Linked DNA regions of Anolis sagrei. The protein of the gene in region 1 interacts with the protein of each later gene in a biochemical or structural test. Links are inferred from orthologs where the notes say so. Each region holds a gene or a part of one and is shown on either strand. Other genes may lie near its edges.

Evidence for each region. The genes of interacting proteins can lie anywhere in the genome.
Region 2: the proteins of P-selectin-like (region 1) and CD24 form a complex in vitro, tested with the Homo sapiens proteins (2 studies listed by BioGRID and IntAct). The link is inferred for Anolis sagrei from reciprocal best matches to the Homo sapiens genes SELP and CD24.

Annotation. Positions count from the first base shown.
Region 1 is NC_090024.1:130,221,549-130,225,299, reverse strand, and holds the start of P-selectin-like, read right to left. Parts: upstream 2,881-3,751; coding exon 2,743-2,880; intron 1-2,742. UniProt on the Homo sapiens protein: Ca(2+)-dependent receptor for myeloid cells that binds to carbohydrates on neutrophils and monocytes. Mediates the interaction of activated endothelial cells or platelets with leukocytes. The ligand recognized is sialyl-Lewis X.
Region 2 is NC_090021.1:95,242,127-95,245,877, forward strand, and holds the start of CD24 (signal transducer CD24), read left to right. Parts: upstream 1-1,278; 5' UTR 1,279-1,335; coding exon 1,336-1,404; intron 1,405-3,751.

The DNA of each region.
Region 1 (3,751 bases):
GAGGGTTGTGATGTGAAAGACAGTTTTTACTAGTGACCATTGTGTGGCCTTGCCTCTCAGAAGAATGGACTGATGACAGAAATTGATTGCCTCCCTTCTTTTCTCCAGATGCAAAGGGAAACGAGAAAGGGGATAACAAGTTGAAGCCAAATTAAATAAGGGGGTTGTGTTGAATTAGTGTCACAACATATTTTATTTATTTCCCAGAAGAGGAATCAAGGTGACATACAACAAAGCAATATCTATTGTCGAAGGCTTTCATGGCTGGAATCACTGGGTTATTGTAGGTTTTTCGAGCTATAACATGGCCATATAGCTTTAAAAATCTACAACAACCTACAAAAATCCTAGAACATGGCCATATAGCCCGAAAAACCTACAGCAACCCAAAGCAATATCTGTCTCAAACAGAATTTCAAACAATGTGAAAATATATCTTTAATTCTAGTACGGTAAAATTTCCTTACAACCCACACCCTTAAATGCACAGATAGAATCATAGAATCATAGAGTTGGAAGAGACCTCCTGGGCCATCCAGTCCAACCCCCTGCCAAGAAGCAGGAATACTGCATTCAAATCACCCCTGACAAATGGCCATCCAGCCTCTGCTTAAAAGCTTCCAAAGAAGGAGCCTCCACCACACTCCGGGGCAGAGAGTTCCACTGCTGAACGGCTCTCACAGTCAGGAAGTTCTTCCTAATGTTCAGATGGAATCTCCTCTCTTGTAGTTTGAAGCCATTGTTCCGCGTCCTAGTCTCCAGGGAAGCAGAAAACAAGCTTGTTCCCTCCTCCCTGTGGCTTCCTCTCACATATTTATACATGGCTATCATATCTCCTCTCAGCCTTCTCTTCTTCAGGCTAAACATGCCCAGTTCCCTAAGCCGCTCCTCATAGGGCTTGTTCTCCAGATCATTGATAATATTTATTTCAGTTACCTTTTTTGCAAGACCAAGCATTGTTTTGCTTTAATATCAAGTGTAACATGGACAGGTTGATGGGCACGCAAGGGCCACAATCTAAAGACATTTACTAACGGTAGTGGAGGAGCCCTTCCCATTTGTGTATCTCTCCAAATTGTTGTTGATACTAATTTTAAAATACTGTCTAGAGCTGCAGCAACATACAAGCTGAGCATATTTTTTATCCATAATTCCGAAATCCTAAACTCTTCGAAATTGTCCACATGAGTGACTGAGATATTGACATTATTGAGAGTTTGGTATTTTGTATCCAAAATATTAAAAATATTGGGAATAGAATTACCTTCAGGCTATGTGAATAAAGTGTAACCAAAACATAAATAATTTCATGTTAGATTTTAATCCTATCTCCCATTATGAACATATATGTAATTACAGGTATTCTAAAATCTGGGGGAGGGGGGGGGGGGATCCAAAATAAAAACACTTCTGGTCTTATGCATTTGGATAACTCAATCTGAATATTTTTAAAAGCCGGCATGGCATAAAGTTCAACTTAAATCAGGGTTGAATCCGGAATTATACTTCCCAATTTGGTTGGAGCCTTCCCATCCTTTTATATATGTAACTGTATATTAATAAAAATGTACTGTTCGTTTGTGGGGTTAACATAACTCAAAAACCACTGGACGAATTGCCACCAAATTTTGCCACAAAATACCTACTAATCCAAGGAGTGACCATCACTAAAAAAATGATTTTATCATTTGGGAGTTGTAGTTGCTTTGATTTATAGTACACCTACAATCAAAGAACATTCTGAACTCCACAAATGATGGAATTGAACCAAATGTGGTACACAGGACTCCCATGACCAACAGAAAATACTAAAAGGGCTTGGTGAGCATTGACCTTGAGTTTGGGAGTTGCAGTTCACCTACATCTAAACAGCACTCTGGACCAAACTTGGCACAAATATTCCATATGCCCAAATATGAACACAGATGGAGTAGGAAATAGACCTTGACATTTGGGAGTTGTAGTTACTGAGATTTATAGTTCACCTACAAACAAAGAGCATGCTGAACTCCACCAACGACAAAATTGGGGCAAACTTCCCACACAAAACCCCCATTCTTAAGGCCATCCAGTCCAACTCCCTCCATCGGGGCAAGAAAACGTAATCAAGGCCCTCCTGACAAAGAGCCATCCAGCCATAAATATAGATAGATATATATATGATTCACACACACACAAATACAGTATCACAGATTTGAAAGGGATTCCTAAAGAAGGACAATAATATGTTGCATGTTCCAAAGAAGGCAAACCAGACAATCTCCATATCAACACTAACAAACAGCAAGAAATACTGTTTACCCACAAGCATAAAGAAATTACATATATTAGAAACCAACACTTTCTCATTACTTTATTTTCCAGATAACGAGACTGGGCCACAGCAACGCGTGGCAGGGGACCGCTAGTATGTCATATATTTTTGTATTTGTTCTTACCTATCCAATACTCCAGGCCACAATCTAGTAAAAATGAAGGTTTTAAAATCGATGTCAATCATTTTTATTATGACCAAATTGTATTTTGAGTCCTCCCCTGACTTTCATGTTTATAGTCGTTTCTGCAGATGCTCATCTAGCCATTCCTCTTAGGCCATGGGGTTACCTCTGGTCCTTTTGAATTTTAATGTGCTTCCTTGCTATACCTGTTCCAGGCTACAGCAAATAGCAAATTCAACGCTATTTCATTCCTAAATCTGTATCCTTTGGAATTCTGTATATAGAGAAATAAAACTGTACTTACCATTTTTATTGCAAATCCCTCTGATGGCTCTTTTGCACGCTTCTCCTTGTGTGGGTTGGCATAAACACTACACCTCCTTCCTCTGTGTAGACTTGTGGTACCAACACTTCCTCTGGAGTGTAGAAAAGCTGATTGCATCCTTTTCCTATTGCCTTCCTCATCGTACCGCCCTCTCAAAACTTCATGCCATTAACTCCTTGGCAATTGGTACAGTTTATGCATGCAACTGTGTCTTTTTTAATGTTAGAATAAACTCAGCTCTAGTGTCATATGCTCATGAAACAGGAATAGTAAGGGAACATCCATGTCCTGTGGCATGTTGTCAATTAAGGGTTGTTCCAGATAGGCACTATATCCCAGGCTCTGATCCCAGGTTTTCTGTTTATCCCAGATTATCTGGTAGTGGGGACTCATATGATCCAGGTTAAAGCAGAAAACCTGGGATCAGATCCTGGGATATAGGGCCTGTCTGGAAGGGCACTAAAATGTTTGTTGATAAGCAATATGTACTTGACAGTAAAGTTGTAGCCAAATTCAGTCAAAGCCAAAGTTTGGGTGAAATTACTGTATATACTTCAGTATAGGCCTAGTTTTCAGCCCTTTTTTAAGGCTGAAAAAGCTCCCCGCGGCTTATACTCGAGTCAGGGTTATTTATTATTTTCCTCCTCCTCCTCCTCCTCCTCCTCCTCCTCTTCTTCTTCTTCTTCTTCTTCTTCTTCTTCTTCTTACTACTACTACTACTATTATTACATTTATTACATTTATTTATTATTATTTATTTACAGTTCTTATATTCCGCCCTTCTCATCCCGCAGGGGACTCAGGGCGGATTACAGTAAACACATATATGGCAAACATTCAATGCCAGTTTGACAAACAACATTTAACAGACAAAAGCTATTTAACTTTTTTTTTTCTGGCCGCCAGGGGAGCTGCTGCTTTTCATCGTCCATCAACGACACCGATGAAGTTCTTCCGCATTCCACATTCCCCGGAGTCTTCTTTCTTT
Region 2 (3,751 bases), on another chromosome or scaffold:
AGAAAGTTAAATCCATTTAGCCTGCAGAACAGAAGGCTGAGAGGAGGCATGATTGCCATGCATAAATATGTGAGAGGGTATCACAAGGCAAAGGGAACAGGCTTGTTTTTTGCTGCCCTGGAAACTAGGATTCAGAGCAATGGGTTCAAACTACAGGAAAGGAGATTGCACCTGAACATTAGGAAGAACTTCCTGACTGTGAGAGCTGTTCATCAGTGGTACTCTCTGCCTTGGAGTGTGGTGGAAGCTCCTTCTTACAGCAACACCAGGGGCACTCCAAGTGGCCAGCTTCTGGTCAAAGGACATTTAGTCCTTTGTGCTACCGGGCACAATTCAAATTTAGCCTTTAAAGCACTAAGCGGTTCCGGCCCAGTTTACCTGTCCGAATGCATGTCTCCCTATGAACCATCTAAGTGCTTAAGATCGTCTGGAGAGGCCCTGCTCTCGGTCCCGCCCCCTTCTCAGATGTGATTGGTGGGAATGAGAGACAGGGCCTTCTCAGTGGTGACCCCTCGGCTATGGATATTTGATCGGCCTCCTGGCTGTTTGAGCAGGCATTTGCAGACACAGTGTAACAGACTAATTGAGACCCACAGAATGATTGGACAATGCAATGGAAAAATCAAATTGAGTGATGGGATGCTGAGGACTTGTGTTTTGTGGCTTTTATGGCTTATATTATATTATATGTAATGTTTTAAACTGTATTTATGTTGATTGGGGGCACTGACTGCTATCTGGAAGGGGTGTTATACAGGGTTAGTCAAAATGAATAGGCCAATAAGATATACAATTAATTTTCTTATTGGCCTATTCATTTTGACTAACCCTGTATAAATACTGCAAATAAATAAATAAATAAATAAATAAACCGAATGCCAAGCTTTCAAACTTTGTGTTTTGTTTGTTTGCTTGCTTTTTAAATACATTACAAGGGTACCCTTGCTTCGCTCCTGAGACGATAAATAAACATCCCAGGGTGTTTTTTGTTTGTTTTTTAAATCCATTACAACTTGATTTGCTCCTGAGACGATAAAACAAATAATATTTATTCCTGGTCAGGCGACGCTCTGGAAGATGCTTGGATTCGCGCAATGGCGCTGGGCATCTGTCTTGGTGGGAGGACTCATGGAGAAGACCCTCTGCGTGTGCGTGTGTGTGGGATGGGTGAGACCAATAGAGGGGGCGGTCTGGGAGGGGGGGGAGGCGAGGGGCCAATGGGGAGGCTGCATTCCCCGCCCCTGTCCCGGGCGCGCCCATAAAAGCCCTGGCGCGCCTCCTCGGCCTCGCATCTGAGGCTGGAGCGCGTCGAAGCCGGGTGGCCGAGCGGCAGAGATGGGCAGGGCGCTGGCGACGCGGCTGGGCTTAGGGCTCCTGCTCCTGGCGCTTCTCCTCCCCACGCAGGTGAGCCAAGGAGGGCTGCCTGCCCGCCCGGGGCACCCCCCCCCCGACCGCCCCCCCAGTCTCTCTCTCTTTCACCCCAGCAGAGCCCAGCGGAGTTGGGAAGCCCTCTGAACGGAGCGGGTGCGTGGGTGGGTGGGTGCTCCCCAGTAGGATGGGTTCAACCAAAACGGGGGGGGGGGGTGCAGAAGGAGAAACCCCCCCCCCCTTCCCTCCCTGCAGCGGACGCAAACAGACCTTGCTTGGGCTCGGGTATCTTGTCGAAGGCTTTCATGGCTGGAATCACTGGGTTGTTGCAAGTTTTTTTCTGCATCTATGGCAGGCATTCAGACTTCACAACCTCTGGGGATGCCTGCCATAGATGCAGGCGAAACGTCAGGAGAGAATGCTTCTAGAACATGGCCAAACCGACCGAAAAACAACCTTTTTCAGCACGGACAGGGCTCAGGTGCCCGAAAGCGAGATCCTCAGGGAGAAAAGGTCTTTTTGATCTGAGGGCGCATCTACGCTCCAGAATTAACGCAGCTTGATCCCACTTTAACAACTCTTTAGCCTTCTCTGCTGACGAGTGCTATCACTCCCCTGATTGCATAGCCCTGAGCTCTGGTAGTCCAAGAGTGCCAAAGCGCGTTCATTCTCCAGTGTAGATACACCCTTGAAGAATGGCTTTCATGGCCAGAATCACTAGGTTGTGTTGTGAGTTTTCAGGGCTGCCTGGCCATGTTCCAGAAGCATTCTCTCCTGATGTTTCGCCTGCATCTATGGAAGACATCCTCAGGGGTTGTGAGGTCTGCTGGAAACTAGGAAATGGGATTTATGGAGAAATGGAGATGAGCACCACCAGATATATAAAGCCCTTTTTCCTAGTTTCCAGCAGACCTCACAACCTCTGAAAATGCCTGCTATAGATGCAAGCAAAACGTCAGGAGGGAATGCTTCTGGAACATGGCCACACAGCCTGGAAAACTCACAACAATCCATCCCTGAAGACCTCAAAATATATCTCTTCCCTCCCAGGCTTCGTATTTGTTCCTTCTCCACACCCCTGGAGGTCCAAAAAATATAATTCACTTCCCTCCCAGACCCCGTATTTTGGAGGTTGGTAACATTACCATTCTTCCAAGCCTTGCTTCGTCTTCCCAGCTAAGGGAAATGTCTTAAACCAGTATGAAAAGACCGCTCTGCTGCTCCTCTCCTTCTGGGCTTAGCTTTGTTCACAGAGCCCAGACTAAAAGGAGAACAACCTTCACAGTCATCAGCCCAAGTTAAAGCCCCCCCCCCCCATTGGCACAATGGGTTAACCCAGGCCTGGGCAAACTTGGGCCCTCCAGGTGTTTTGGACTTCAACTCCCACAATTCCTAACAGCTTACTACAGCTCACAGAAGCCGCCCAGCTTGCATTCACAGGCTGGGGGCTTCTGGGAGCTGTAGTAGGCTGTTAAGAATTGTGGGAGTTGAAGTCCAAAACACCTGGAGGACTGAAGTTTCCCATGCCTGAGTTCAACCTTTGTGCTGGCAGAACTGTTGACCAAAAGGTTGGTAGTTCAAATCCAGCTTCCCATGTGGGGACATGAGAGAAGCCTCCCACAGGATGGTAAAACATCCCCCTGGGTAATGTCTTTGCAAGTGCCTGGGCAACGTCCTTGCAGGCAGCCAATTCTCTCACACCAGAAACGACTTGCAGTTTCTCAAGTTGCTTCTGACACGGAAAAAAAAGCCCACATTACACCAAACTTCTCACCCAGCCAAATGTTAACCCATAACTCTTCAAAGCAATCATCAGCGCTGTTCTCTAGGGAGCCCATCACACATTTTCCCTGGATAGGGAGAATGAATCCACTTAAAATCCAGTTTCTGCTTCCTGCAGAATTCTGGGGTTTGTAGTTTAGAGAGAAGCCTTTAACAGCCTCACTAAACAACAAACCCCAGAAACAGGATTTTAAGTGGATTCATTTTCAAGTGTGATGTAGATAGGGATAAAGAAGGGAGGTAGATTGCTTTCTTGGAATAGGATCCCCCTTTCGTTCAAGCAAGGAAAAAGAAAAAATGAGTTTAAAAAGCCTTGAAGGAAAACTCACAGAAAGTAGGCTTTCCTATAACTTTAGACAGTTTGCTGGAGAGGTTTTTTTCCTCCTTTGCTTGAATGGGTGGAATTCTATATCTGTAGTTAGTTGAAAAAAAAACTATTAAACTCTCTTAGGTTTTATTTACGGCATTTATTTATGGAATTTATATCCCACCTTTCTCAGCCCTAAGGTGACTCTTAGGTTGATATTACCTACATATTAAATGTGATTCATTGAATGAAACCCCTTCCCTCCCTGATGCTGTTTGACTCTCCCTATCCAGG